7 linked regions of the Oryzias latipes genome follow. The main gene of each other region encodes a partner of the protein of the gene in region 2 in a complex. Links are inferred from orthologs where the notes say so. Each region holds a gene or a part of one and is shown on either strand. Other genes may lie near its edges.

Region 1 (4,406 bases), on a different chromosome or scaffold from region 2:
TTAAACCAGTTTTATGCAGTGAGCTTTACATTTTTCAATGAAAGGGTTTGTCTGTGGACTCACTGCTTTCACTACCGTTTCTCAGGTTGATGAAAGTTTCCTGTTGGTTACCAGTGTGTTTCTTTTTGTGATAAAACTGTTCTTCTGCTCTTCCTCCAGAGGGCAGAATCAGATCAGCGTTCACACTCAACTGCCTGCTCCACCAAACAGTAGAGCACATTTAGAAAAATTGAGATTAAAAAACATTGTGTGAATTACTCCCCCAAGGTAATTAGCAGCAGAAAAAAACAGTTTTTTAAAAATTTGATTTTGTCTTGGTTGGATAGTTAAAGGGTTGAAAGAGTTTGATGACAACTTCTTGAACCTAATAAAAAATAGAGAAATTGTAAATAATATAAAAAATTAACACCATCATTTGGGTGGTGGAAATGGAGTGTTTTGTTTTTTTTTACTCCTTTTTAAGTAAACATGTTTAATTTTTCTTTTACTTTGGTTATAATCAGTTTTTTGCAAGTTACTTCCAAAACGTAACACATTTCTGAAGTAATGCCTTGTATTAAAAGAATTCTGGCTCAAAATCGCACTGCTTCACATGTCTCCTGAAGCATTACCTTTAAGCTTGTACCTGCACAAGCAAACCATAACAATTTAAAGTGGCATTTTAGTCTATACTTTTTTGAAAAGTATTACTACTCTAAAAAAAAGCCTTATGTACCTCTAAAAGACTAATATCCACAAATAAAATGCTACTTGAAGTAGGTTAATATGACCACCCTTAACTTACAACAACAGGTCAGGCAGATATGGATTTAAGGGGTGAAATGGACCTGACATGAAAAGGAAATAATTTTTTTAGGTCTAGTTATCCTAACAGGAAATTTGTCTCCATAATTTAATTTGAGACAAAAATGTGAAAAAGCGTACAGTGACCTACAACACCTATAGGCTACTGCTGAGGTGGCAAGTCTGTTGTAATACAAGAGTTACTAAACATTCACTGAGTGAAATGTAAAATATATTTATTGGTAATACTTTACATAACTGTTATTTTACAAAGTTGAGTGTTTGTGTAATTAAATACTTTTATTGTGAGTTACTACCAATTATGTTCATGGTATAAAATACATCCTGTTTTTTTTGGTGTGTAATTGTTATTATCATGAATTTTTTTAATTATTGTTTAAAGTATTTTATTATTGATGTTATTTTATATTCGCTTATTATTTAATTATGTGAAACCATAAAAGTACTGTTTACTCGAAAAATGATTGCAACGATTGAAACGCGAGCATTTAAATGACGTATGTTGCACAGTTTCGGTTTCCGCTCTCTGATTGGATAAATGGGCGTTTACGTAGCAATGGTCCGGAAAATGTCGTTCGGGCCAGTCCGAAGAAACTTCCGCCTCAAGTTGTAAAGAAAACACAGGAGCTAAAAGGCAATCGACGGAATAGCCAGCAGTTTAAAGAAGTCAGATCAAAGGTAGAACCAAATATCGTTTTTTTTTTACAAGTATAGGATAATTTGCGCAGCGCAGTCAGTTTGTGTAAGTGTTTAGGGCCGTTTGGGATTAAAGCTTCAATTTATTTGAGCTAGCTACGCTATTCAAAGCTAGCAGTTTGCTAATATCGATTCGATCGCTTATAGGCCTCAAGTGAATGTCTTTAAAATTAGATCGATTTACATGTGTGACTTAACACCAACAGGTAATAGTGCTGTTTTTTAAACATTGACATTACTTCGTTTTATTTAAAATACATTTCTTAATTTTATGATACGTCAGCGACTTAGCCTTTCTGATAGCTCGTTAGCACTACCACCTACTAGGGCTATCTGTATTTCGGTAGCTAGTGTTAACTGGTCAGTTTAGCTTCCAACTGAGACGAGCAGCGCTTCAGACACCATTATACGAATAAAAACTAGACCAACTTTGTCTCCTTTTGTTTAAGCATTTACACTCACCGTTTTCAGTAATATTTCATCTACGAACACTTGTCATTCTTACCTAGTCTGTGAAGTAGTTTTTTTTTTTCTAATGTGACTAGTTACTTCTTTACGTATGTTGCGTTTTAGAAACTTAGCGATAATAATATTGTTTGTCAAGTAATTAGATTTAAATTAGATTTTCAGTTAAGTTCACAGTGAGGTTTTGTTAAAAAAAAAGGAACATTATTAAAGCGTGCCACTCCCCTTAACCAAATTAAAAAAGTCAACAGGTTCTCTTACCTTTGGCGTCAAAACATAGCCTCTGTGTGGGCGGGTTAGCGTATGATTCTTTATTTTTCAGATTTTACTTTTTAGTAACTGCTATTAATCATCACAGAACAAACTACTATGTGGCACTGTAGATTTATTTGAAAAACTTTAATTTGAGTTTTATCTCTGCAGATAAAAAAAAAACATAAAACATTTTAGGTTAGGTAAGCCCCTATGTTGTTGTTTTTTGGGGGTTTAATGTAAATTCATAAGAGTAGTCTATAAATGTAGGTACAAAATTGTATTTATGAACGAATTATAGAGAATTATTTTAAATCTTAATTGAAATATCTTTAACAATAATAAAATTGGATTTAGATTTCATTATACTTTTACAATTATAATTAGCTTCTTATTTTATTAAAAACCCCAAGTACCCCCCCTGAAGTGGCACTTGGTACCTACCCCTTTGTGCTTTATGACTAATATATAGTCAGGTATTTTTTTATTTTCCTTTTCCTTTTATGGTAGACCCCTGTTATGGCATTAGTGAAACATTTACAAGCTGTAAACTAACTTGGATCATTTCTTTTTCTTTAACTTGAACAGGTCAAGTGTGACTGAAACCTAAGGCTGTCCATTCCAGCTGCTCTTTCTAATGGTAGCTGGAATGTCAGTCTATTTCCATTAAAAAAAAATCTGTTTATGGATTTTACTCTAATATTTGCGCCTTTGCACAATGTGCCAACAATGTTTTGAAATTTATATTTGAATGAATGGAGCTTGTAGATAGAAGAGCTACTTCCCCAATTAGGAGCAAGGCTAAGCAATATTCTGTTTTTCCTCTCGGTACCAAGTTCTGTAAATTATTTCGGCTCATATCTAGAAATTATTTTCTTGCGGAATTGGAACCGATGTAATTGAACAAGGACTAATATCTTTGTAAAAGTAAAACCAATGATTCACCATCAAGTTAATGGAAACCAAAAGCTGGTTTTTATAAAGATAATCAAATTTCTAACCTTCATCAATAACCGTCTATTGTTGTTTTATTTTCTTTGCAGGTCACTTGCATTCTGGAACTTGTGCGGCTTGTCCTGTGTGTGTGTATGTGTGTCTGTGTGTGTGTGTGTCTGTGTGTGTGAGTGATTGTGTGTGTATGTGAGTGGGTGTATGTGTGAGTGTGCGAGAGCTGCACTTTCTTTGTCACTAATTTAACAAGTGCTGCTCCTCCCTGGAGGATGACAATGGAGGAGATGAAGAATGAAGCGGAGACTAACTCCATGGTATCCATGACGCTGTATGCTGTGATGTTCCCAGTTTTTAATGAGGTAACATTGCCATCACAATTAAAAAATGAAAAAACATTAGTCCAAAAAATACATATTTTTTATAGAGTTTTAATTGAAGTTGACAGATGTTTCTCTTATCATAAAATCCAAATTTAGTACCTAAAGTAGAAGAATTGATATTTCTGAACTTTTTTCAAAATTTTGTAATAGTAAATGCTTCTCAAAAATTGTTTCTAATCTTTTCTCTTTTCTGTGAACGTTTTTGTTAACGCTAAGCACCGCTCTCTGTCCTGGTGTGTTTTGTTTTTTAATGGCCTGTACTTTTTTTCTTTGTTTCTTCTTTTTAGCTGGAGAGAATCAATCCATCAGCAGCTCAGACGCTCAGGGCAGCTTTCATAAAGGTGAGACCTCGTGAATCAACCAAGAGGAAATGTAAAATCATGTGATCCCACTCCTGTCATATGTATGTTGCAAAGAGTATGAATGTGTGTCATAGCAATTGGGTACAGTAATTTAAAAAAATAAATCCTATTGTTGAGTTATGCGTCTTCATGGTTGGGGAGGGCATCTGGAAATTAAATGAATGACTTCTGCTTTAAAAAAGAAAAAAGCTTTTCTGTGTTTAACTTCCTTCATGTTGAATTTAGCTTTAAAAAAAAAGAACTTGCTGAGATTTTTCACCAAAGTCATTTTTCCATTCACCTTCTTAAAAGCAACAGAAATTAATAATAATAATATTTTACATCTTTTATAATGAAAAAGGATAAAACAAATTTCTTTGCTTAAAAAAAAAAACAAAGTAAAATACTAAACATTCTTCTTCCTGATGGTTCTCCCATGATCTCCTCACAGCCTAAAAAGAATATTAATGTTAAGTTGGACTTTCATGTTCCTGGAATGCTTCTATTGGACAGTAAG
Region 2 (3,819 bases):
TTCGAACAGTTTCCTAAGCCAATTATATGACCCACTTTATTTCATTTCATTTATTTTTGCAATATAATAAACGCAAATCAATTTAACTTTACTCCACCCCAAGTAATTGCCACCTTTTTAATATTTTCAGCAGCATAAAATAAACAAAAACATCAATGTCACCTTAATCTTTATTGTTGAAATTTCCTATTACATAATATAGAATTCATGAATGAATGAAATTGAACATCCAGCATCTTATAAACCAAACTGCATTTATCAGTCTAAAAAGTTAGGACAACAAAGCCTTATGTATAGCTTGATTTAGGGGAATTTTATTGATTTGCAATATTTAAAAAAACATAACAGTGTGAATCTTTCATGTTTTTTTTATAACTTACATTTCTTTAAATTTACAAAAGTGCAAACAGAACGTACGCATTTTTCCTTAATATAAGCCAAAGCTGGTGTGACTCAAAGTGCCAAAAATGAAATCTTGGAGATTGGTGCCATTAGTCCAGCTACGTGCAAACAAAAGAAGGAATTTACACTTGACTTAAAGAGGAAAGGGGATATTTAGTACAGTCGTCAGCACTGATTATTAAAATGGTAATGGAACACACACCCTTTGGTCCACCCACAGACACAAAAATGCTTAAATAGGTCTAAGTGTGGATATACAATGTGCACTGCTGTGATGCTCCGAGCGGTGTCCCAGGATCCCATTCCACATTTGAGTTATTTTCAGCCGTATATGCCATTCTAGGCCTGGACTGTACGCATGGGTCTAATGTTAGAGTTTACAGGAAGTAGTCCGGGGTGCGGCGGGTTACATGGGGTTCCCCTCTGCGAGGCGCAGGATCAAACTGCAAGCTGCAGGACGAAAGGAAAAGTATTTTAAGACGTGCAAAAGTTACAATTCCCACCTTAAACTATTGCATCTGATGTTTTTAATTTATGTACTTACAAGGAATATTTGAGGGTGTCATCTAGTTCCATAATAGCTGCCTGGTTGCCACAGCGATAACAGTAGTTAGGAGCGCTGAATATCGTCACCACGTTCCTCTCATGGCACCAGTTGTAACCCTGAAGAGAGCAGATGTGTTATTTACAGGAAGAAAATGATCCAAAACAAACTAACACAAGTTCTACTGTTTGTCTTAATAAGCTCAAAATAGTAAACATTTTCCAGATGAAAAGTAAAAAAAAAAAAAAAAAAGTCAACGTTAGGTCAAAGTTAGGTTTTTTGAACTATGCACACCTCCATGACCAGCTGGTGGGCTCGAGAGACCAGTGTGAGGCGGTTGGCGTGGTTGAAGGTCTCAGATATGTCCTGACCAAAAGTGTAGCCTGCTCCTCGAGGAGAGATGCCCCAGCCGCCGCGGTCGTCAGGGTCCGACCACAGCAGGTCGCACATGGGACCCTGGAAACAGAGATCACAGGTTAGAACTGGAACAGGCCAGCTCCCGATTCTGACCGCAAACACATTCAACAGGCTATTTATCCTGGTGGCGTTTTATTTGTAGTTAAAAACTAAACACAGTAGGTGTAAAAACCACTCTGATTATTTTTTGGATCTATTTTAAAAGATTTCCCAGTGGTCTTTTCATTATGATTATGCCGTTTTTAGCCTAAATTTTAAAAAGCTGTGTTTTTTTTTTAAGGACAGTTTCTGCAGAGCAGCTGTAGTCCTTTATCGAGCCGTAAAGTTTTGAGCCAGACGCCAACTCAGACAAGGAAAACAAAGACGTACATGGATCTAGTCGTCTACAAGTGTTGGAGCGGAGCGGAGCGGAGAGCTTGTGGCCCCGCCCACAAATAGGCTCCTTTTCAAATGGCCTTTTTTCATCTGCTCCTGATTCACAATGATTTTAATAAAGAAATATTCAGAAATGCTATTTTATTCTTAATTCTCTCGATAAATGTCCTCCATTATCAGAAAAAATGCCACCAGCAGATGTTTAGGTTTAGACTTTTACCTCATGTGGCACCTCCTGCAAACGGTCCAAAGCCCTGATGTGATCCAATGTATCTATGGACGGGGACAGGCCTCCATGAAGGCAGAAAATCTGATGAAATAACAGAGAAGTTCATTTACCCACAGAATTAGCTCTGAATCTTCTCAAGATTTCCAGTTTAAAACAAACATCTTAAAACTACCTTTACTAGGTTAAATGGCAAGACAGAGCCAACCCAGTCTGTTGTGATCGTTTTGGTTTCTATCAGGGGTTCCTCACCTGAGAGTCTACCAGGGCAGTGAGGGGGAGGTAATCAAACAGGTCTGTGAAGTACTTCCAAACGTTAGCATTTCCATATTTCCTTAAGCACTCGTCATAGAAGCCGTAAACTTGTGTGATCTGTCTGCTCTCGTGGTTCCCTCTGAGGATTGTGATGCGCTCCCGGAATCGTACCTGTAATGCAAGCAGAGAAATCTAATTCACCTGAAAACACAATCACGAAACGGTCATTTGAAAACACCTTTTCTTTTTAATAGAAAAAGGGGTCACAAGTCTTCCATGACTCACTTTTAGTGCTACAAGTAAAGTGACGGTTTCCACGGAGTAGTACCCTCTGTCCACATAGTCCCCCATGAACAGGTAGTTTGTGTCAGGAGACTTCCCTCCGATCTTGAACAGCTCCATGAGGTCGTGGAACTGGCCGTGCACGTCACCACATACCGTCACGGGACATCTCACTTCCTGGACGTTTGATTCCTTTGTTAGAATCTCCTTTGCCTGAAAAGAAACAAGAAAAAGAGTTGATAGTGTCTTGTATAACAGAGAGACAAGACGTTGAAATGTGCAGATTATTTTGAGTTTATATCTGAGTGAGCAACACTGCAAATGCGTTACAATCCACAAGAGGTGTGTTTGGGCAAATTCCTACATGGTTCCTTCAGGATGCAGCATTTCCTGTCAATGATATTGCAGCTAGCATAAATGCTTTCTTAAGGCTGTGCGCTTGTGTCCTTCTTGCTGTAGAACAAACAGTTCTGGCTGTGCTCAAATACCACCAGAAATAAATGAAAATGGGGCCCCTAAAGCTAAAACTAGGAGAGATCGTTAGCATTTTAAAATGAAAAACAAAGAAGTCATTTCATTGGGCTCAACTTATTACATGTGTTATGGCCATAGCTGTTAAACACTCAGAAAAATACAGCTTTAGGCTGGGAAAAAAGTATATTTGGACTGTTATTGCTTCCTCCCACAAAGAGGTCTAAAAGCAGCGGATGCAGAGTCTGAGTCATTCTGCAAATGTTCAAAGTACAAGTCCTTGACTGTAAGGCTGCTTTTACACTGAGGTGGCCTAAATCAAACTAAAAATAGACGTATGATTTAAACAAATGTGGAGACTGAAATCAGAGTCTATTCTCTGAGTTTATTTCTGACAGGTTTATGTGAATAAAGGTTTGGTACCAAGACTAAGCAGGGCTGAAACTAAGAGGCAGGACATGTGCAGGACTGGCCCTGAAGCCGGGGTTTTTGACCCGTTCTTAGAGACCAACGTTGCATGACTGGCTCCTTCAAAGCTCTTTTGTGTATCCATGTGGAAAATCCATGCTGGAGGTGTGGTGTTTGTCAGCATTTACACGATGCTCCTCCGACCAAACAACGAGGCTGGCAGGCTGGGACTTGGCAGCGATGCAGCCAATGCAACGCTGCACACTGCTGACCTATATTCCACGTATCCGTCCTGTGGCTTTACCACCATGTGGCACAGGCTCTTTCAGCCGCCAGAGTCAGGATGGCAGCTTGACCAGAGCTTGTGCCTCCAAAGCAATTGAGTGACTAAGCCTGATGGAATATTCTAGACGTCTGCAGTAAAGTGGAACAGCAGCAT
Region 3 (3,819 bases), on a different chromosome or scaffold from region 2:
CCACTGTTTATGCAATTAACGTCATCACAGTGGATTCTCCTCTTCAGAATCCACTGTGATGATGTTAATTGAAGGAGCTCGTGTGATTTGGTGTCACCAACGACAGCTCTGGTGCTTTAAAAAAAAAAAAAAAAGGTTAAATAAAATGGCTTGATCTTGTTGGATCCGGTTTCTTCAGCAGGCGAAGTCAGAGTCCAATCAACTGCATCCGAGCCAGCATTCTGGGCCCAATGAAGCGTAAAGGTGAGACGGTTTTCCGTTCACAAAAAGTCGTGCCACGGCCTGATACCGTGCGAAATATCAAGCATTGCATTCTGGTCGTAATAATCTAAGGATAGAATCGCTATTTAAAGAATTACTTTACTTAAGTGGCTATCCTATTAGATCCACAATTCAATGTATTGTGTTTGAATGGTTGCTGGAGGTTTTTTTTTTTTATTGGACGTGTAAAAATTTGATTTAATTATCATCATTTATACCTTTTATTTGAAACAGGAGAATCAACTAAACAACCGATAAGAACACAGATCTTAAAATATATATATCTATATATATATATATATATATATATATATATATATAGATATATATATAGATAGATATATATATAGATATATATATATATATATATATATATATATATATATATATATATATATATATATATATATATATATATATATATATGTATAGATATATTTATCCACTTTAAATAAGTGTAGCACATTTGGTATGTTTGTACTGAAAATGCGACATTATTTCGTAACTTTAAAGCCATAATGACATCACCTGAATGTATTTTTACTATACTTTTCCATATTCATAAGCATTGTGTATCGGCGATCTCGGATAACAAATGTGTGTGCTGTATTTCTCCGGAACGGATCGCAGATTTCGGAGTTTTCAGTTAGAGGGAATAAACTCGGTGCAGAAGTTTTCTTGTTTCCAAACATCAGCTCTCTTTGTTTGACAGGTGAGATGGAGACGGAGAGTCAACCGAAGAGACTCTTCCAGGGCACCACCACCATGCTGTCCTCAGACGCCTCCAATCTGTCTGACCTCAGCTCCTGGTAATCGACACCAACCCGCCCGGTTCATCTGGGCTGCGGCCAAACCCAATGCCCTGGAAAATTCCCAGAAGTCTCTGCAAAAAAACTAGGCTGTTTCCGAATTCCTGCCCTAACCCCTTACTACTAAAAAACAATATAGTGTGCCCTGAATTTTAAAAGCAATTCAGACACCACGCTCACTACTTTTGTTTTTAAACGGTGGATATGACATCATGGATTCAAGAAGTTAAAATATAATAAATATGAGCATTTTGCGACGATTATTTATCGTCCACTGTCTTCTGAAGATAAAAAACTGATGGTTTATTAAAAATAATACATTTAAATAAATTGTTTGGCAAAAATTGCTACGATGCAATGCATTGTGGTTTATATTCGCCGATCTAGTGAGCATTGATGCACACTGGTTTGTCGCAAAGACTTCTGGGAAATTTCTAGGGAACTCGATTTTGGAATGGACAGCACTAGAAAATGGCAAACGCTCTATTATATTGAGTAGGGAAGGAATTCGGACACAACCCTAGTGTGCATCGATGCTCAATATAGACCACAGTGCATTGTGTATGAACAATGTGTCATTTGACGAAATGTACGTCCATTGATGTGGTATTTATCATCCACTTTTTCATCTTCAGAGTTTTGGTCAAATGTTCATATTTATTAGGTTTTTACTTCGGCGAAAAGGCGATAAGAAAGCAAGCAGGAACCGTGGGTCTAAATGTAATCAAAATCCAGGCGGCTGGAACGTCCTGCACTATGTTTTCCACACTACAAGGCATTCCGGATCGTAAGCTGGATGGTTTTGTTCCCTCGGAAACTCTTCTATGATTGGTGCAGATTACATTTCCGTACCACTGATTTATTCATGTTACAGGGCCTATATTATATCTTTGGCACATTAAAGAACACAATCTTTGTTAAATTAGTCATTTTCGCAGCCCGTTTTCCAACCCGGCTTGATCTCTGAGGCTCCGCCTTTCGCTCCGTGTGGGTGACGTCAACCTAGAGTCGGCCTCGGCGGCGTGTCGCCGCTCGAAAAGCAAACAACATCCATACTTTAGCATAGATGGTGGATAGTGTGCATATAAATTGATATATGATAATGATATGGGCCCTTTAAATTCTCTGCTTGATTCCCATGTTCCGCTGTGTGATCGATGGCCTTGAGGTTGAAATCTGTGTAAGCGAGTCTCATGACAGGCGCCATTTTTCAGTGGTTCTACTTTGGTTAAACGTTTTGACAGAGCGCCGTGTACTTCTCCAAATTACATCATAAGTAAACAGAACCAGATAGAATCTGTGTTGTTGTTTTTAGAAATAAAACAGCCATGTTCATGTTGAGGCTGATGCAACAGTCACCCTGTGGGTCGATGGGCTTCAAAGACAAAGTTGTCTCCAAAGAAGACATCTTTGTGTATTTGTTGTTTCGGTGTAAGATGTGAGATTCTCTTCTTCTTTGTCTTCTCCAGTCATTCTCCAGACCTGCTGGACGGCAGTCTGAGCAGCATCGGCTCCTCCACCGACTCCCCGGGGAAGATGGAGGGCGTGTCCCCGTCCTCCTCCAGCAACTCCCCCTTCGCCTCGCTGCAGGATCTGTCCCCGAAGTGAGGGCACCAAGAAGACGTGAAGGACAAACGGGGCCCCTCCCTCCACGCCGAGAGGGATCTAGCCCCCGCCGTTAACCGCATCCGTTCATTTCTGTGAGTTCACCCCGTTTTCCCCTCACGGCTGCTTTTCATGAAGGCGGAGCTCGTCTGAGGTTCGGAGACGCCACCCGGTGTGGGGTGGGGTGGGGGGGTCTGTGGAATGACTGAAGACACTGTGAGCACCGGCTGCTAGTTGGGGGTGTTGGATGGTGCTTTGCTTCATGCTTCTGGCTTTCCTGCACACCAGTGAGCACACAGAGCACTGGAGAAGACATTTTGGATGTGTACATTTTCCTGTTATGTGCTGGAAAAGCTTCTTTCTGTCAGAAAAAAAAATTTAACTTATTTTGGTTGTTCTTTTTTTTTTTTTGCTTTCTTTGTAATGATGTACATATATTTAGTTTTGCATCGAAACTATTTGTGGGCTACATCTATTGAGCGTTCCTGTCGTACTTTAAAAAGTGTGGAGAAAGTTTCCAGAATGTTTTTTATCAGCTGTGAATGTGTGTTGTGCTTTTTTGTTTATTGTTGTTGTTTTTTTTTAAATTTCCCATGATGCCCGACTCCCGTAACGATCTGCTGCAGATGTACAGAATGATTCCACCTCTAGGTAACCCCCCACCCTCCAGATGAAATGTGGACATTCCAGCTTCGACACTATAGCTTTCCTGTTTTGTTTTTTTCCCAGAATTCCTCTGGTGTGGACGATGAATTAGTTCCTTCTGGCAAAGTGTTCTTATTTATAAAGAAAGTAAACTTGGGTGGTGATGGATTTCTATCTCCTGTGAACAGTTTATCCATGATGATCAAACTGCTGTGACGAAAAAATAAAATATAAATATATATATATATATAGAGAGAGAGAGAGAGAGAATGGGTTTGGGGGTGGGGGTGCCATTGCATTGTGGGTAAAATACTGCTGGTGTGGTTTTGATTTAAAAAAACAAAAACAACAAAAACCCCAACTTGCTGCACAGGACGCTGCGAGTGTTTCAGTTGGCGTCTTAAAGCCAAATCATCCAAACTGTTTGATGGTGGGGGGGTTCGAGCTTTCGAGCTCGCACTGTGACATTTGCACCGTCTTCAGTCGTCATGGCAACCTG
Region 4 (4,387 bases), on a different chromosome or scaffold from region 2:
ATGGATGTACAACCCCAGTCTTACAATGTATGCTTACATTTTTCCATGGTTGGTGTTCTTTAAGACAAATCTATATGGTATCTGTGCAGATGTTTATATAATTTATCAGTCCCAGTGCAGATTATTCTGACTAGCATAGTAATGATATCAAATAAATATGACAGTTTCTGGTATTATCAGAAAACATTTACTAACAATCCAAGTGCTCCCACAAATGTATATTTAGAATTTGCTCAAAATTTGATCGCCCAGTGACTTTAGAATTTCATGTATACATCTACATGGTTTTAATTTAATGTCTTTTTTTATTCATTTCTGACCTTAAATGCTTTTGACATTTTGTGCTAGATGTTTTAGAAAAATAAAGGTAATTCTTGAGAAGCATTTTTGTCATAAGCCTGCGCATTTTAGGTCACAGCTCAATATTTTCTGTTAATCCTGGATTGTGATTGGGCATTTAGGTCCGACATTTTAATTATTTTTAGTATTTTTTTCAAGTTTCAGTGCTTTGTAAGATATTTTGCCTTAAGAAATCTCATTCACCTGACCTAAACAACAGCTCAACAACTATTTCGCCATCACAAAGTTAATTACCAACAAGCTGCTTTTAGGAGCCATCATTCATTGTTTTAAAGCCTTATCTCATATCAGGAAGCTGAATGATGTAAACAGAAACAGAGCTGCTTATTTATCAAGCAATTTGAAAGTTCCTGCATCTTTTCAGTCTTTTTTTTTTTGTATTGTTTGGACAAGCTTCAACTTGTTCTCTTATTTTGTCATTTAGCAAATCCCTTCAGCATTTCCAGCAACAGCTTCTGCAAACAGCATTCACACTTGCATTATTGAAGGTAATGCAGTTTTCTAGTTTGAATAAACTAAATGTTTTTGATGTGTTTGTCACAGAATTGTGTTGAGATGAGCTCCGGTGTCTGTGGTTCTGCAGGTTCTGGAGGGCAGCTGACCAAAATGCGTCCCCTTGCTGCTGGACCAGCCAGGACTCCTCTGAGTGGTGAGTGATACAAATGGACCGGGTCAAGTGCCTTTCCTTCGCTGCAACCATCTTTGGAGTTTCTTCATTACCAGTGACGGTTCCTGGTGCGGTGGGAGGAGAGGGTTTGTCCAATAAGGCGTCACAGAAAATAACATCTATAATGTATTAAAACATTTGTAGATTCTAATCAGATGAAGTACAGTACCTGAACTGGATCCACCCTGACCCATTTTCCTTAGCTCAACTTTTTTATTGTCCCATAATAAACTTTTCTTCAGGGAAAACACTTAGCCTGAGCACTTTTTCAAATGAAAAAGAAAATAAAGTCAAATCTGGTCTACTTTTTAACAATGCTGTGGAACAGAGAATAGTCAGAAAAAAGTTTGCAAGCATTTTTCTTTTATTTGATAACATTTTTTATTTCACTGAGTCAAAACTCATTGAGATCTTCCGGTTCGGACTTGGTTCTTCTTAAAGCCAAATGCAAGGAATTTTGTTGCTGGGGAAGAACTCCCTGGCCGCCCTGCAGCCTCGCCCTGCAGACTCGCTGTACAACCGTCAGCAAATCAGAAAAATCCTCGCAATCGTCGCCAGGTAGGTGTGCAGAAATCCAGCCAATCAGCTTCGCCAATACTGGAGCAAGCGCGGGGAGCACAGACAGACCTAGTGACAGCATCTAGGTCCCGTGGAAGATCATCACGGAGCCTCGGTGGATAATATCTGCAGCGCAGACAAAATGCCAAACAAAACCAAGAAGGAGAAGGTAGGCCGGCAACTGTAGTGGTGCAGCTTAGGTGTGTTTCGTGGGGAAATATGCCGGAAAGCTGCGTGACGCGCGCGGCGGGGCTGGGTTACTGAGCAGTGGGAAGCTAGCCCGCTAGCCGAGCAGGCCTTGCTAGCAGCGGTTGGAGCCCCCCTCTTGCAGCGGTAGAGTCGTCTCCGAGACTTAAGCGCGTTCACTTTTCTGAAACTACACGGACCTCCGGGTGTTTAAGGGAAAACCGCCTACCCGCAGACTGTTAGCAGTTATCCACAGCAGAAGTTCGGGAGGAGTCGCTCATGCATGATTCCAAGATGACCCGTGGAGAGCAGAGTCTCTCTGCGCGGTCCCCCCCTCACCTGCTGCACGGGCATGGCAACAGGCTGCTGTGGAGGCGGCGGCTCGCCTCTCTCATCCAGTTTTACCTGCTTGGCATCTGCGACCGTTCAGATACTCGGAGACCGCGCCGGTAACAGGCCGGAATCCCCCCACGTCCCCTCCCCGGGTCGGTGACACGTCAAAAGTCACACGCGTGAATTTGCAGCGACTGGAACGTTGCATTGATCAGCTGGTCGATTTACGGATGAATTATGGGTTCGGGTGTCCACTTCGTTGTCCATCTGAGTGTGCGGTGCACCGTGCACGAACCCCCCCCCCCCCCCCCCCCCCTCTCGGTTGCGAGTGTCTGACTGTCCGCTGCTTACTCAGTTATTAATGAGTCACCTGAGCAAGGCAGGATTCAAACCATTGATCTTGAGTGATGAGGGGCCCCAATTCTAACAGATCACACTTTTTCAAGTTACTTTTTGAAATCGATATAACAAAAGTTAACACGGTTTTTGAGACTTGGATCTAACTACAGCAAAATGAGGAAAACATTCCAAGAAACAACTGAAGAAAACAAAAACAGCTCAAGAAAATTTCCCCTTAAGATGAACAGACGGGTAAACATGATTTACTATTATTTCCAGTTGTCATGGTCCTAAAGACTAGGAAGCTTAGTGTCTTTTAAAATATTATAGACATCTCCTAATGTGTTTTGGCGAGAGTGCACGAGCCCTTTAACCCTTAAGGGTACCGCCCCCAGCACCAGTCCCAGATGAGGCCCACCTGTAGGGAGTCATCAGTGGGACTGCAGGTGGGGGCAGCAGGAGCTTCATTTCTAGATGTCTGTGTCTCTGCAGGAAACGGGCAAATCTGCAAAGAGCAGCAAGAGCAGCAGCAGCGGGAAGGATGCCGCCTCTGAGAACTCTGATGAGGTAAGGGGCCACCAGCAGGTCTGATGAATCCAGTAAAGCTGGTCATGGGGAGAGGGGGGGGTGTTATGAGGCCCTCAGCAGGTCCTAGCTTCACACCTGACAGGCTTTTCACACCTGCTGAGAACAGACTGCCTTCTGTTTGGTTTTATCAAAAGGTTTCATGTTGATCTCGGCAGGGAGTACGTTTCTGTATGCATGACTGCCTTTGATGGATACAAATCATAAATGCTTTAATGAGCAACAAATAAATCTCAAGTCATGGAACAAAAAACAGCTGCTAAAGATCTAAACAGAAAATAAGACAGGAAAAACTTCAAATCAAAGGGAACCAGTCAAAGTCTGCCCATTTAAAAGCCTTTTAAGACGCTTTTTGAAACTGAACTGAGTCGACTACATGCAGGTGGGGGGACGGGGCATCCTGGAATCTGGGGGCTGCTGCCTCAAAGGAAGTTTGAGACGTATCCTCAGGACCATAAGAAGATTTAGCTGAAAAGTGCCTCTTCCCCTCACTTCAGGGGTCAGGTGTGTGGACCGTTGTCCCTTTAGTGGCCACCGTGATGCGTTCACAGCAGCCTGTCATCAGAGTTTTCAGGTCTGCTTGTTAAGGCAGATTGCACACATATATATGGTTTCACCGTTTTTTTGGTCTGGGGAATGTGAATGTCAGTCGGCGCTGTGTGCTCACCTGTTTGAACTTTTCAATCACTGGAGCAGGGCAACTGCAAGCGCAACAGCAACAGCACACCCCCTCCCACCCAGCTCAACAAGATCAAGTACTCTGGAGGCCCCCAGCTGGTGAAGAAGGAGCGGCGCCAGAGCTCGTCCCGCTTCAGCCTGACCAGGAACCGGGAGCTGCAGAAGCTGCCCGCCCTTAAAGGTGTCCAAAACCCTGACCAGAACCGCATAAATCTGTGGCTGAGGTTGGCCTTTAGGTGAGCTTTGTTTTCCCGTCACTTCCCTCCTCAGATGCCCCCCCTGTGGAGCGGGAGGAGCTGTTTGTGCAGAAGCTGCGTCAGTGCTGCGTGCTCTTCGACTTTGTCAGCGACCCGCTCAGCGACCTCAAGTACAAGGAAGTGAAGAGGGCGGGGCTTAACGAAATGGTGGAGTACATCACGCACAACAGTGACGTGCTGACGGAGGCCATCTACCCTGAGGCCGTCATTATGGTGAGGCGGCGGCTAGCCTGGGCAGATGTGAAGTTGTGATGAGAGCGTGCTGAACGGCTTCTCTGTGTCCCTTCAGTTTTCGATGAACCTATTCCGGACGCTGCCCCCCTCCTCCAATCCAACCGGAGCAGAGTTCGACCCTGAGGAAGACGAGCCCACTCTGGAGGCAGCCTGGCCCCACCTGCAGGTACTGCTCCTGCAGCAAAGTGAG
Region 5 (4,433 bases), about 12 Mb from region 2:
AGCATCATATTCAAATTAAAGGATTCTGGGGTTGTTTTTCAGTAACTACACTTTAAAAGCATCCATAAATCCCTGATTGTATGAGACCCCTCTCTCCTGCCAGTCCAAAAGTACTGGTAAAATATTGTTGAAAGTAGTCCATGAAAGTCTGGTCCCAGTAGTCCTCTTCTCGTCAGGATGCCCTGGTTTGCACAAACCTATCTGAGCTGGCTAACCAGGTTGGCATTTGATCTGGCATGACTTATGATTAAAGCGTTCTCTAATTGGACAGCTGAAAGCTTGTTATCAAAAAATAGTTTATATGGGTCAATGGCAAACACCTTTATGTAATGTCACGTGACACTTTCTAAAGTTTAAAAGTAACATCTCCTAAGAAAACTTCTTTCTGTATACCCCCACACCTTTTTTTCACATTTAAAATTTGGTCTATGTTATAAATTCTAAGGTATCAATGTAATAACTTCACTACAATAACATACTGACGTGTTTATTGCAAACACAGACAAAGAATTCAACTATCTTGCAGTTTTTGGTGATTTATGGCTCAATGAGTTCCAAGCAGCTTTATGTTCTCCAGATAGAGCTGCCGTTCTGCACATTTATTTACTTTACATGCAGTCCAAGACAAGGTTTGTTAAAAGAACAATTTATTTTTACAATCATTCAATTCAAATAATAATTTGTGGTTGGTGATGTGATTCATAGTCGATATTGGTTAATTTTAAACGGTCCGATTTGATCTAAGTCAATGGCCTAAAATGGATCCAGGGAATCTTTAACAAAAAACTTAACCAGTGTGACTGAGTGATAAATACCTGGATACTAAACAGTGCAGGTGAAGTTTTCCAGATTCCTTGTATTTCTTGCAAGATAATCAAGTGTAAATTAAATATAAGAACAAACAAACAAGTAAACAAGAATTTAAGGTAAATCCATTCACATTTTAGTTTCCTGAAGTTCAGCCCACTATTGTTACTCCACATCAAAATAATACAAACAGAACCTCATTAGAACATTCTATCATACTGTACGGTCATATGTCTTTCCTAATTTCAAAGTGGAATGATGGACTGTATTTCTGCATTTTCCAACGTTGATTAAAATGGCATTATTTCATTTTGAAACAATGTTATGATGCTACAGGTGATTTTATTTGATTCAGTTAACAACTTCCCTTAACATATCGATCTGGTTGGATTGTAGGAGTATAAATCGATTAATAGTTACATCCCTAAATATTATCAGCTCAGTAAAGAGTGAGAGAAGGAAAGACAAAAGTTCAATTTTTGTGATTCAGAAAAAAAATACTGTTAAATATGTTGTGAAAATGCGTATAAACAAATTGTGACACATCACATCATCACTGTAATGAGTGAGGGACTAGCGTTTAATATTAACATGCCTTACAGTGTAAAAGGGAGGGAGCAGAAGAGAAAAGACTTTTCAGCCGATTACCAGTCTAATGGACGACAACTTGTTGTTTTTAAGACACGATTTTAATCATTGAGAAAAATGAATATTTTATAAAGCACAGAAAAAGCTTTGATGATTACTTGTTCATTCGTTGGAGATATGAATGTACTTTTTTTACCGCTAGGTGGCAGCACTTTCAAAAAATGAGTAGAAAACCACCTCAAAACTACGCAGAACAAGAAGAAAGACGGAAAATACAAAGAAGCCGTTAGCCTGTATGCTATAGCGATTCATCAAATGTTTGGTTAACGTCAGTACAAGTGTCAGAAACTATCTTATGCAGCAAAAGAAAGGGAAGGCTATATTAGACATCTCTTGACAGAGCGCTCTTTCCTCACAGCATGGAGAAACAGTTGCATTTAAACCTGCTGGCCTCCAGACCTCCAATGGCTGGTCCTGGTGGATTTCAGTCTGGCTCTAAAATCAAGATGGGGTGAGAAGCTAACAGTTCATAAAACGTTAAAGGGTTTTTTTATATCTACATTTGCGTGTTATTCTTCATACCTCTTGTCAAAGCCATACTGTGAACTTTTGTCTGAATAATAGCTCGCCGAAAAGCCAGACACAGCTGAAGGAAAACCAATATTTAGTTAGCATTTAGGCTAGCCTAGTTACCGCTTATAGAGTAGGCACGACCCGCCTTCTGCAGCTGCTGCAGAGGTTTTTTTATACATATAACTCCTTTGAGTTAACAAAGTCTAGCTGATGCTGTGTAGAGCTTATCGTTTTCTTTAAGAAAAAAATCAGAATATATATACGTACTTGTTATGTTCTGATCCAGGAGACCCCCGTTACGCCCACCAAAGGATAAACAAAATCTAGTTTACAATACAGTTTTACTGATTTAATCCAAAAGTGTAATTACATTCTTATGAAGATGACTCTTTCATTAACTTCGTTAAAGTGGTTCGTTTTCTGCATAAGTCGTGCCTCTAAAGGGGGCAGCTGTGTGTCAGCCAGCAGAATAGAAACAGTAATTTACTAATGGGTAATATGGAGTCAAACCACAGTTTGGAGGTACAGATAGTATGTATATTGTACATAATGATTTCCCCCTCATTTTTATTTGTATTTATATTTTTTTATAGACCTGGCCGGAAGAAAGATTTTACTCCACTGCTTTGGAGTCAGTACTTTGAAACCATGGAGGATGTTGAAGTGGAAAATGAAAATGGCAAAGATATATCCTTCCCAAAATCTCTGTTTCACAAGAATGCCGTGACGATTTTTTGTTGTTTTGATTTACGCATATCATGGAATTAAGATTCAAATGCTTTTCAAATTCTTCGTCTAGGCCAGGGATCTGCAACCTTAAGCAGTAAAGGAGCCGTTTGGGCCTGTTTCTTGCTGATCAAAATCTCATTGGAATCACAAAGTCTTATTTTGCCCTTTAGGAAAAGTTGATACTACTTTATTTTTGGCTTGAATATAGAGCAAAAATATAAAGTGAGAGTAGCTTTTTCTCAAAGTGTGAAATTTTTTCTTTTTCTTTCTTACTTTTGACAGAAGCTTGTATGACTTCCTTTCAAAATTAGACTTCCTGTGCCGAACAGGGTCATCCTATTGCAACTAATGTTCTCCTAAAAAGGTTTTAAACAACGCAACAGCATCTTTTTTGTGCAACATGAGGCTCCGGAGCCACATTGCAGACTCCTGGTCTAGGTTTTAGTTTTGCTTAGCGTTTTAATGTAGTGCTTACAGCCTTGCGTTTTGTTTTCTTGACCGCACAACACATTTTCAGAATTTACTGCAGTGGTTCACTTGGTCCTGTGCTGTTGCTGCTCCATGGAGGAGGCCATTCTGCACTTTCTTGGGCAGTGTTTACTGTGGGTATCATTACCACTGCATAATCCCCTATTCTTAAACAGTAATCGTACACCAATATAACGAGTAATAATAACAATATGTGTGTTGCAAGACTGCCCAGAATACAGATTGAAATGACCTCTGTATATGTCTCTACAGTCAGTCATATCCAACATGATTACCTGTAGGGTGGTTGCCATGGACTTGCGAGCTCATGGTAAGGAAAATACTCTGTAGGCTTTGGAACAAATGACTTTTTCCCATTTTTTAAATGTAAAATAATTTCTGTAGAACTGACATTTTTCTGCAAAAATGATGGAATAAGTTTTCCAATCATTACTCTTTAAAAAAAAAAAGAAAACTAATCTGAGATTGTCACGGTAAGATGAGAAAGCTTGGGAATCCTTTCAGGTGATTTTTAACTAACAATTTTATCCACCCTGTAGTATATTCTCCAGAAAGACTAACATTCTCATTCTCTGCAATACATTGTGAGGAATTTTAACTTTTTTTTTTTTTTTTACTCTACACAAATGTGTTTATATATAAATTTAGAACCAATGCTTTGCTTTTTTTTTTTTGTTTGGTAAGCGTAACAAGAAATTCTGAAACTCGTCTTTAAACCTGCAGGTGACACCAAAGTAAAAAATCCTGAAGACTTGTCGGCAGATACCATGGCAAAGTAAGATACCGTTTTGTAAATACTATCTCTTTTTGTCTGAAGTGGGTTTATAGTTTGTTTGTTTGTTTGTTTATTGCTGGCTTATGTCCAAGAAATATATGAAATCCTATAAACTGGCTATATATGGAGTGATTAAACTACCAAAAAAAAAAGATACGTTTTGGGTTTTTTTATGCAATTGTATTTTTCTTTCAGAGTTAGTAATGTACCAAGTTAATCTGTTTTTCTTGTAATTATGTATTTCTTGTAAACTAGTAAATGAAAAAGGGAACCAATTGTTGCCACCTGCTAGACTGCTGCTGATTTGGAGTAATATTGTTGGACACTGTCAAGAAAATGAAAGATTTTCAAAATGAAATAAAGTGTAAGGAATTAAGTACAGAAATGCAAAAGCAAAACAACAACACAATTTTTGTGTATGTCGTCTTTATTTTAAAAAATCCTTTTTGTAGCATTTATCTTTTTTGACGCT
Region 6 (4,272 bases), on a different chromosome or scaffold from region 2:
TTTTGAGTTTTTAATTGATTCATCCTACTTTGCAATTTCACAAAGAAAATGGGTAAAAAGGTTTGTGATGGGTATATTTATATTTGAAAAATAATTAATAATTGTGGGGGGTTTCTGGGGGTAACGACTTCACCTTAAAAACAAATTCGATTTTGCAGATTTTGTGAACCACCTTCACATTTTTAGTAGAACCATCTGGAGGGGCAACAAAGCCAACATTACCAACAACAAAAATCTGACTTTTGAGACCAGAAAAATGTAGCTGTGTGGTCAAGGCTAAACCTTTTTTAGGTTTTAAATTTTTCTATTATATATTTTATTTAAAGTATTTAATTTGCTCAGCTAGCATATTATATTTTATACCATCAGACCAGTTCTAATTTTTAAAAACTTACTTTTTTCTGCTAATTTATCTTAAACTTTTAAACTTAGCTGTTAAATATCTTGCAGGTTAATTAAATGCAATCAAAGACGTTTTTGCAGTAAACTTAGTTTTTCTAATGTTAAGCATGAACATGCTAAAGTATAACGGAGCAGTAAAAGTATCAAACAGGTCAGTGTGACCATTGGTTTAATCCAGATGTCTGCTGACTGAAGCTCCAAAACGAATTTGGCTCTCTGGTTACAGAAAAATAAAACGTTTTTAATTTAAATAAGTAACTGTAAAGTAAAAAGAAAAAAAGCAAACTGACTTAAATGACCTCATACACAAACAGTTGAAGAACAGTACGCATTAACAGGTTGAACGAAAACGTTATGCCAGATTTTTGTGCGCCATGTACCACAGAAAATCAACTGGAGGTCAGTGAGCAAAACCAAAATTAAGGTGCACCGGATTATGAGGCCTCAGGGTGTCTTTTATTTTGAAAGGATGTCATGTCAACCTCTGTCAAAAGTTATAAACTATTTCATATTTTGAAAAATATATATTTTCTCTGTATGTTAATCTTTTTGTATGCAAAAAAAAATTATGTTTATCATAACAATAACATAAATACATATCGGTGTCCTATTTTTTCTAAACGATGAAGTCATATTTTTTGGTTCTGTTTAAGTATTAAAGGTTGCAGAGCCCTGCTTTTAGGCCTTTCTAATCTTTGACAAAACATCCGTCATGCGCGTGCACATTATAAAGAGGGTTTGGTTCACGTGCGGAAGAGACTCGAGGGGAGTTTGAAGAATTGACTTCTGGGATGCGGAGCAGCCGGCGGCAAGAGAGCGCGAGACACCAGCACCACCGCGGGGGAGTGAATGTTTCCAGGAGCAGCAAAGAGACGAGCGGGAACTCCGAACCGCGCAGTTTGACTTAAACACACACATTGTTCTGCTTTGCTCGGTGAACAGAGGCTGAGTGGAGGAGGGGGGGGAGGGAGGAAAAAAAAGTTAAGATCCCACGAATCAGCGCGTGGGAGTGGGAAGCAGGATCGTGACCAACTGACTGAGGCAAGCTCCACTGTCTGTCTCGCCATGGCAGGTAATTCGTCTGGACTGTGTTAAACGTTCTGAAAAAAAATGTTTTTTTTCATTGTTAAAACGTCGTTTCTTGGTCGTCTCTGCGTTCCGGGAGTCAGGTTTTATTCACCCACCAGTTCATTTCTGTTTTAGCTAACGATAGCTAGTTAGCCGAACTTGGCTAGTGCTAACCTAAGCTATTCACAGAACTCGACTGTCCTCGCGCAACAACAGAAACATTTGCCGGTTAAAGCTAGCTTACCAGTTACCGTTACAGCTGTTTTGCTGTTATCTACACAAATAGGTTGCATTACTAACCTGATAATGATATGCATGGCAGTTTAGCCAAATCTGTTAATAATTTTGTGGCACCGGCATGAAATAGTGTTAAGTTTTTGTAGCTAATGGCCGAGTATTTCGCTCGTACACGGAGGTTTTCTTTTGGTATACTTCTGTGCAAACCTCTTAATGGAATAACAACACACAAGGCTGCGAGTTATTAACCCAAACGTTAGGGCAAGCTCAAAGTAGCGCCACAGTTCTCAAACATGCATCGGCTAGCTTGGCAAGCCGTCATTGCTAGCTTTAGCGCAAACTTTGACATTGCTCACATGCAGGCTAGCAGGCGGGCCCACTGAGCTCTGAGGGAAATGTTCACGCAGTTTCTGCTTCAAAGGCTACAAGAGGCGCGGGATAACGACCATTTCATCTGTAGAGAATGCTCAGACTTTCTCTGCGATGTTTTTCATTCATTTGTTAGCTTTACTTTAGTAGCGAAGTATTGTGATTCCAGTGGGTGGGGGGGCCTCACCCCCCACCCCTATAGCAGACTTTGATTTTAAATTTGGTTTTAAAGGCATAGCAGAAACGTCAATCATGGAAAGTGTGGAATGCTTGCACGTCGTCCATTTTTTGAGTGACTCACATTTTTAGACAAATGCATTGCACAAGACTCCCCAATAAAACATTTGAGATATTTTGTTCCTCCAGTGAGTGTTTTGACTCTTTCTGGTGTGTATGCACAGAAATGATTGTACCTGCTTCCTTTGGGCTTGTTTATCCTACAAAATGTACTCTGTTAAAGTATGTGCTGCTACGTCAACCTGCTTTAAGGTGACTGTTGGAAACATTCGGTTTCAGTTTTGTAAGTGGCCACAATGATTGCAGTGCCAGAATTGTTCATGTATGTTGAGTTCCTCTTAAACCAGGCCTCAGCATGACCGCTGTTAACCAGCTACAAGACCTAAGATGAAGAGAACAGTCTAGCAGTTACTGACTGCACCCACTTTTATTGTAATTAAAAGATCATGTAGTTTTATAGCTGTGAGTTGACTCACTGGAACAGAACTGGTTTTGCAGGTGTAGACTGTCTCGAGTAATAGTGGTGTATCTTAATGTTTTAAGATATAGCTTATGTTATTTGCACATATTTATGTGGGACCAAACACAAAAAACTGATGGAAATTCATGTTGGCTGCATGTTTAGCGGACAGATGCACATTCCTGCATTACCGGCACAAATTTTAAGTACGGCCAAGTCTAAATGTTGTGGTTGGTCGCGTGTATTAACCTAATCCTAACCCTTCATCCGGGTCCGTGCAACCAAAGAAAAAGTCAGCTCTGGCTGCGTGTATTTTGAAAATTCTGTGTGAATGATCACTTTCTTAAAAAAGATGCTGCACAGTTTTCTACCTAAGTGGTGGTGCATGTGTGCACGTATGATCATTAAAATATTGCGGTAATGGTCAGTGGAATCATTGTTAGACCCTGGATCTCAGACAGGTCCCAACACTGATCTTTTCTGAAGTAATTCATGAATATTATTGAGCACAAGTTCTAACTGCTGCCACCAGGGAAGAGATGCAGGTCCTTCAGAGCCAGGACCAACAGACTTGAAAAAGTTTTTACCCATGCTCCATCAGGCTCCTTAATGATACTGTCAACACCCAGTCACCCTTTATGTATGGATTTGTACTTTTTTGGTTTTTAATATGATTTTCTTGCACTTTGGCATGTTGGCCACTTTCAATTCTGTCTTGCTCCTTGGCAGATGACAACGAAGTGTGTCATTCTTAAAAAGCATTTTTCACTAGGTTTAGAGCAATATTAAGTCAATAAAATCTTCTTCAGTTAAGTCATTCTGGTGTTTGAAGCAGACGGCAAGAAGAGTCACTGAAGATAATCCACTCATTTTTCTCTTCTCACAGCACCTGGAGGTGACATGCAGTGGTGCTTCTCTCAGGTGAAAGGAGCCATCGATGATGATGTCGCTGAAGGTACGAAGAACCATTTGAAATACAGTTTTGTTTAGAAAAATTAAAAATACAGGTATAACAATTTATTTTCAACAATTATTTGATTCATATCATTTGTAGTTGCGATACGAGTCATAGTGTATATTTGTTCAATTTAAATGATCCGATTTGATCAAGAATTAATGGCAAATTCATTCACATTGTCATAAAGTTGTTTTCAACATCAAAATAATAAAAAAGGAACACGATTAGAACATTCTACCACACTGAGTGGTCACATGTCTTTGCAGAACTCTGTTTCCACACGTTGGACTAGAATGATGGACTGATCATTTTTTGCTGCATCACATGTGTACTGTCTGCTGTAATGCACAAACTTATCATGGCTCAATCCAAATGGTCTTTTCCAATATTGATTATGGAATTATATCATATATAGGCGATGGATAAAAGGAATGTGTCCACACACTGTTTTGCTTATGCCGTCTATCATCTCTTTGTACAGTTTCGCTAAATTATTCAAACAGCAAACAAAAAAAATCAAACACACCTCTTTTAACAACAT
Region 7 (3,819 bases), on a different chromosome or scaffold from region 2:
CAGGAAGTACCTGGTGGCTCCAAGAAGCCAAAACCCCATAGACTTCTATAGAGAAATAAACAGCTATTACTCAGTCATTCTATTTGTCAGAAATACCATTCTTGCTCTGCTACCTTTTTCTTTAAAAAACATGTTCTTGCTAGTCCTCGTTTTTTCGTCATATATATTTTTTCTTTATTGCAAGTCATTTAAGTACTAAACTGACCAATCGGATCCCTCAAAAGTATGTTATCTTACATTGGACTAGGGCTGCACAATATCAGGAAAACTGCGATATTGCAATGACGATGATGAACATATAGCAAAACAACCAAAAACATCATTTCCATTTCACTGCAACAGTTTAAAAATGACATTACAAATGACCAACATCTACATAGGAGACGGACATCTAATATAAAAGGCCTCCATCCCGTTGGTCTATGATGTAAAGGAGACCATTTGATTGGTGAAATACATAAAGGGATTTGTTTGTTTCGTTAAATACTTCAAGCTGCCATAAGATTGTTTTAGCATATTTAAGGTAACCATTTATTGCGATTTTCGCCGTCTTTTGCAAAATGCATATTGCACAGCGTGAAATTGCGATAACGATAAATTTGCGATATATTGTGCAGGCCTACATTGGACATTTGAAATGTTTGATGGACAGATTCTCCTTAGCCAGCTTTCGAGTGGTAGGGGTGTGGCCTTTCAACAAGCTCACTCCTGAGTGGCAAAAGTGGTTGCCGTAGAAATGTGGACCAACTTGGACCAATTGCCGTTTGCTGAAATTATCTGGCTCCAACGTGGCAACGTCTGTATTGGGGAACATTTGCGACCAAATTGACTTCTTTTCATTGGAGTGTTACACTCACTAGGTCCTGTTCTCGTATACAGTCAATGACACAAACATGTACAATAAGAATGTATTATTACTTCCTTAAAAACCTTTTCTCATTTCAAGTTAAAGTTGGTCAACAAGAGAATTTGAGATTTTATAGTAGGCCAGAAAAATGTCTAGAATTTAATTAAGCATGGATCTGAGACATTCACTTTAATGAAGACCGTTTGCTCCTCAGCGCAATAAGCTTTCGTGGACACCGTATAATTTAGTATAACCCCATCACCTTTGGAGTATCTGGTTGCTAAGCTGCTGTAAATCAGACCGAGCGTGCGGCTTCACCTCAGCTGTAGCTGCTCGCTACGGTTACACAAAGGGCGGCTGGGTTGCTGGACGGCAACATAACTGGACAGCGTGTCTGTGCGCTTTTGGACGCCTGCCAGGTCTTGTTGGGTTAAGCTTGACGACTGAAGGGCTTTGCTGTCAAAGCCAAGGCTGTTTTTTTAAGGGGGCATTGTATGTTTGGTTTTTGTGACCACTTGAAAAAAATGTTTTTCTTCTAAAAAAATTTAAAACCTAAAGGTAGCCAACTGAGTGGACTTGCCTCGTGTGTTTTGCCATTTTTGTGCCTGTCGGAAGTGAATGAATTCCTCTCTCATTTCCTCCTATTGTTCCAGACACCCCCTCTGCCGAGCAGCAGGAGCTCTTCATGCAGAAGCTTAACCAGTGCTGTGTTCTCTTCGACTTCCTGGACTCCGTGACGGACCTGAAGAGCAAGGAGATCAAGAGGGCCACGCTCAATGAGCTAGTTGAATATGTTTCAACCTACAGAGGGGTGCTGGTGGAGTCTGCATACCCGGACATCACCAATATGGTGAGCCATTCCCGTGGAAATGTCATTTCCCTTTTTAGATTCATGAAAGAAACATGACGTCCATCCAAAGGTTGCGCACAGCTGTCCAGCAGTTTGTCAGAAAAGAGTGAGAATCGTGTTTGTGTTTGGGACAAAAGTTTAGATCAGGTTGTTGATTCTTTGCCTGTTTGGAAGAGTCCGCAGAAGGTGGGGTTCAAGTCACGTTTGGTACACAAGAAGATGAATGTATTGATAGATTTTTGATATTTAAATAAGTAAAACAGGATTTTGCTGCTTGAAGTTATTTTTCTAATGCAAGTTTTATTGCAAAAATGATCATAGTTACCCTAAAATGAAAACAACTTTCATAATGATTGTATAATAATGATAATAATACAACGCACAATTTGTTTTTGTGACAGTAAAAGGGGAAAGCATTATTAAATAATGGTTGACGATTTTAACATCTGTCCGGGGACTACAGATGAAAAATAGCCTTTGGGCTAATTCTGACGCATTGCAGCCATGCTTTTAATGTGCACTGTCCTTATTAAATAAAACAAATAAATAATAAAGCCTTTTTTTTTTTACTTATCGAAAAACAACAAACAGGAAAAATGTACACCTAATAGCAAACACCAGCACACACATATTTTGCTTAAAAATATGGACAAAACAACTAAGAATTCCCAATGTTCTAACTTTTGGAACATTTTTAATTATCGATTTAGCCAATTTGATTTGTGGTTGAAGGTCATTCCATAAGCTATCTATCATGTCGTTCTAAATTTAGGTTTTCTTTAAGATTTTAAATGAAAAATATACACATTTTGTACATTATGACATTTATGATGCACGTTATACATCAAATGCCATATTTTAGTAAATCTGCGAAAAATAACTTCTTGCGATTATTTTTTTGCTTTTTCTTTGTAGGATGGAAATGACATTTATAAATGTTTTTGTATTTCCCCAATGTCATTACGATAGACCAGGCATGAAAAAAATCAAGGAACTATATAATGAATACAAGGCACTGGTATCTATGGATCAGTTAACTTCATACAGCACTTTTGTAATGTTTGTTTTCATTTAGTTAAAAGGAGATTTCCAGGAAACTTTGTTTCTGTTTCTCTTCTGATAGTAATATCATTGATTTCAAATGAAATATTTATCTCCATGGCTAAATATCATTAAAAAGGATTTTAAAATGCACATGGGCTATGATTTTCTTCATAGACCTGCATCCATCAGCTTAGTGAACATGTGAATCTAATATCGATTAGCAAGTGGATTAATACACGAGGGAGTTACACAATCGGGTGTTTTAACGAGAGGCCCAGCAGCACTCTGGAACATCTTCTTGGCCGGCGTGTTATAGATTTTGTGTTGATCGCAGGTGTCCTGAGCTGCATCGTTTCCTCCCACAGTGTAAAAGTGAGTCACTTGCAGCCTTTTAGAGCACAGCAGTCAGTGCTGCAGTGATTCAGTCCACACTAGAGATTATTATGATGGATATGAGTGAGCACTTCCTGAGCTGAGTCAAGGAGTATTTAAATGACTGACGGAGAACGTAGGTTGTTTTTCCATGCTGCACTGCACAACTATTGATTCAACCATTGTGATTTTCCTCTTTGAAATCTTAGTTGTGGGTAATTGACTGAGGTTTCTTTGAAATTTTTAAGTTATAACCGAGCATTTGAGCAGATTTGTTACTACAGGCGTTTGTGCTAAGGTATCTAGACTGTTTAGAGGCTTAAATGTTGAATTTTCCAAACTGTGGCACGCCAAAGCTTTACAATAAATGGATCTGTACTGTCCGACTCTTTTAATTGTGTAATTTGTTTGTAGCATGATGAGAAAAATAGGTGCTAAGTGACAGGAAACTGGTTCATGGCTCGGTTTCTGACAGAGTTGAGGTGAAAGTCAGCTAAAATGTCAGAAAGCCGGGCCCGTCATCCGCTGCTTAGCGTTAGAGGACAATGAAATAATGAGTTCTTTAAGTGCTGCTCCTGATTCGGCTGCAGCTTTGATCACTGGGGTTTTCAGAGGTATAAACATCAAAGTCTCTTATTTGCATCAAAGGAGATTTTGCTTCTATTAGTATGCTTTTTTTTTCTTTAAAGAAAAAGAGGTGGTTGCC

The links.
Region 1: ppp2ca (region 2) and pdcd10 share a complex: the UniProt entries of both Homo sapiens proteins name them as parts of the core of STRIPAK complex. The link is inferred for Oryzias latipes from reciprocal best matches to the Homo sapiens genes PPP2CA and PDCD10.
Region 3: the proteins of ppp2ca (region 2) and fam122b are in contact, whole or in part, in a cryo-EM structure (PDB 8SO0), measured with the Homo sapiens proteins. The link is inferred for Oryzias latipes from reciprocal best matches to the Homo sapiens genes PPP2CA and PABIR1. Residues at the interface, in NP_002706.1 of Homo sapiens: Arg89, Gln122, Val126, Tyr127, His191, Trp200, Pro213, Arg214, Gly215, Ala216, Leu243, Met245, Tyr265, Cys266, Arg268, Cys269; in NP_612206.5 of Homo sapiens: Asp95, Leu96, Ile97, Arg99, Glu100, Thr101, His103, Glu104, Arg105, Val107, Gln108, Met111.
Region 4: the proteins of ppp2ca (region 2) and ppp2r5d are in contact, whole or in part, in a cryo-EM structure (PDB 8U1X), measured with the Homo sapiens proteins. The link is inferred for Oryzias latipes from reciprocal best matches to the Homo sapiens genes PPP2CA and PPP2R5D. Residues at the interface, in NP_002706.1 of Homo sapiens: Arg89, Tyr91, Arg121, Gln122, Ile123, Gln125, Val126, Tyr127, Gly128, Tyr130, Asp131, Leu134, Arg135, Ala140, Trp143, His191, Trp200, Arg214, Ala216, Leu243, Met245, Tyr265, Tyr267, Arg268, Cys269, Arg302, Arg303, Asp306, Tyr307, Leu309; in NP_006236.1 of Homo sapiens: Ile80, Lys82, Asn188, Pro189, Ala192, Glu193, Phe194, Asp195, Glu198, Asp199, Glu200, Ile288, Tyr289, Glu290, Glu292, Lys332, Val333, Lys334, Lys367, Phe368, Trp369, Pro370, Lys371, Thr372, His373, Ser374, Pro375, Lys376, Ser413, Pro414.
Region 5: the proteins of ppp2ca (region 2) and ppme1 are in contact, whole or in part, in a crystal structure (PDB 3C5W), measured with the Homo sapiens proteins. The link is inferred for Oryzias latipes from reciprocal best matches to the Homo sapiens genes PPP2CA and PPME1. Residues at the interface, in NP_002706.1 of Homo sapiens: His59, Arg89, Gln122, Val126, Tyr127, Asp202, Ile211, Ser212, Pro213, Arg214, Gly215, Ala216, Gly217, His241, Gln242, Leu243, Met245, Phe260, Tyr265, Cys266, Arg268, Cys269, Thr304, Pro305, Asp306, Tyr307, Phe308, Leu309; in NP_057231.1 of Homo sapiens: Gly84, Gly85, Met157, Asp181, Val182, Thr186, Ala187, Ala190, Ser193, Met194, Phe197, Leu198, Leu291, Trp298, Trp301, Phe302, Lys316, Val323, Asp324, Arg325, Leu326, Asp327, Lys328, Thr331, Ile332, Gln334, Met335, Gln336, Gly337, Lys338.
Region 6: the proteins of ppp2ca (region 2) and serine/threonine-protein phosphatase 2A 55 kDa regulatory subunit B alpha isoform are in contact, whole or in part, in a cryo-EM structure (PDB 9C6B), measured with the Homo sapiens proteins. The link is inferred for Oryzias latipes from reciprocal best matches to the Homo sapiens genes PPP2CA and PPP2R2A. Residues at the interface, in NP_002706.1 of Homo sapiens: Arg89, Tyr91, Val126, Tyr127, Gly128, Asp131, Arg135, Cys266, Tyr267, Arg268, Arg295, Pro298, His299, Val300, Thr301, Arg302, Arg303, Thr304, Pro305, Tyr307, Phe308; in NP_002708.1 of Homo sapiens: Tyr86, Leu87, Lys88, Ser89, Ala173, Asn174, Ala175, Glu190, Asn201, Leu202, Trp203, His204, Ile207, Thr208, Asp209, Arg210, Ser211, Phe212, Asn213, Ile214, Val215, Asp216, Met256, Ala260, Leu261, Asp263.
Region 7: the proteins of ppp2ca (region 2) and ppp2r5a are in contact, whole or in part, in a cryo-EM structure (PDB 6NTS), measured with the Homo sapiens proteins. The link is inferred for Oryzias latipes from reciprocal best matches to the Homo sapiens genes PPP2CA and PPP2R5A. Residues at the interface, in NP_002706.1 of Homo sapiens: Arg121, Gln122, Gln125, Tyr130, Asp131, Leu134, Ala140, Trp143, Arg268; in NP_006234.1 of Homo sapiens: Glu146, Glu147, Glu149, Thr281, Lys283, Lys316, Phe317, Trp318, Pro319, Lys320, Thr321, Ser323, Gln324, Lys325, Ser362, Ser363, His364, Phe365, Trp407.

What each region holds. Positions count from the first base shown.
Region 1 is NC_019880.2:9,010,948-9,015,353, reverse strand, and holds the start of pdcd10 (programmed cell death protein 10), read left to right. Parts: upstream 1-1,352; 5' UTR 1,353-1,482; exon of another isoform or gene 1,483-1,706; intron 1,707-3,260; 5' UTR 3,261-3,437; coding exon 3,438-3,527; intron 3,528-3,835; coding exon 3,836-3,889; intron 3,890-4,406. UniProt on the Homo sapiens protein: Promotes cell proliferation. Modulates apoptotic pathways. Increases mitogen-activated protein kinase activity and STK26 activity. Important for cell migration, and for normal structure and assembly of the Golgi complex.
Region 2 is NC_019872.2:4,047,668-4,051,486, reverse strand, and holds the end of ppp2ca (serine/threonine-protein phosphatase 2A catalytic subunit alpha isoform), read right to left. Parts: intron 2,715-3,819; coding exon 2,505-2,714; intron 2,391-2,504; coding exon 2,217-2,390; intron 2,049-2,216; coding exon 1,959-2,048; intron 1,403-1,958; coding exon 1,241-1,402; intron 1,066-1,240; coding exon 947-1,065; intron 853-946; coding exon 780-852; 3' UTR 153-779; downstream 1-152. UniProt on the Homo sapiens protein: Catalytic subunit of protein phosphatase 2A (PP2A), a serine/threonine phosphatase involved in the regulation of a wide variety of enzymes, signal transduction pathways, and cellular events.
Region 3 is NC_019868.2:26,644,252-26,648,070, forward strand, and holds part of fam122b (protein FAM122B), read left to right. Parts: intron 1-178; coding exon 179-243; intron 244-973; coding exon 974-1,070; intron 1,071-2,539; coding exon 2,540-2,678; 3' UTR 2,679-3,819. UniProt on the Homo sapiens protein: Acts as an inhibitor of serine/threonine-protein phosphatase 2A (PP2A) activity. Inhibits PP2A activity by blocking the substrate binding site on PPP2R2A and the active site of PPP2CA.
Region 4 is NC_019873.2:12,867,755-12,872,141, forward strand, and holds the start of ppp2r5d (serine/threonine-protein phosphatase 2A 56 kDa regulatory subunit delta isoform), read left to right. Parts: upstream 1-1,428; 5' UTR 1,429-1,727; coding exon 1,728-1,754; intron 1,755-2,935; coding exon 2,936-3,010; intron 3,011-3,724; coding exon 3,725-3,887; intron 3,888-3,976; coding exon 3,977-4,176; intron 4,177-4,252; coding exon 4,253-4,363; intron 4,364-4,387. UniProt on the Homo sapiens protein: The B regulatory subunit might modulate substrate selectivity and catalytic activity, and might also direct the localization of the catalytic enzyme to a particular subcellular compartment.
Region 5 is NC_019872.2:16,424,987-16,429,419, forward strand, and holds the start of ppme1 (protein phosphatase methylesterase 1), read left to right. Parts: upstream 1-1,631; 5' UTR 1,632-1,814; coding exon 1,815-1,906; intron 1,907-2,561; coding exon 2,562-2,655; intron 2,656-3,206; coding exon 3,207-3,299; intron 3,300-3,438; coding exon 3,439-3,496; intron 3,497-3,909; coding exon 3,910-3,961; intron 3,962-4,433. UniProt on the Homo sapiens protein: Demethylates proteins that have been reversibly carboxymethylated. Demethylates PPP2CB (in vitro) and PPP2CA. Binding to PPP2CA displaces the manganese ion and inactivates the enzyme.
Region 6 is NC_019870.2:24,073,657-24,077,928, reverse strand, and holds the start of serine/threonine-protein phosphatase 2A 55 kDa regulatory subunit B alpha isoform, read left to right. Parts: upstream 1-1,162; 5' UTR 1,163-1,467; coding exon 1,468-1,474; intron 1,475-3,659; coding exon 3,660-3,728; intron 3,729-4,272. UniProt on the Homo sapiens protein: Substrate-recognition subunit of protein phosphatase 2A (PP2A) that plays a key role in cell cycle by controlling mitosis entry and exit. Involved in chromosome clustering during late mitosis by mediating dephosphorylation of MKI67.
Region 7 is NC_019882.2:6,262,096-6,265,914, reverse strand, and holds part of ppp2r5a (serine/threonine-protein phosphatase 2A 56 kDa regulatory subunit alpha isoform), read left to right. Parts: intron 1-1,500; coding exon 1,501-1,697; intron 1,698-3,819. UniProt on the Homo sapiens protein: The B regulatory subunit might modulate substrate selectivity and catalytic activity, and might also direct the localization of the catalytic enzyme to a particular subcellular compartment.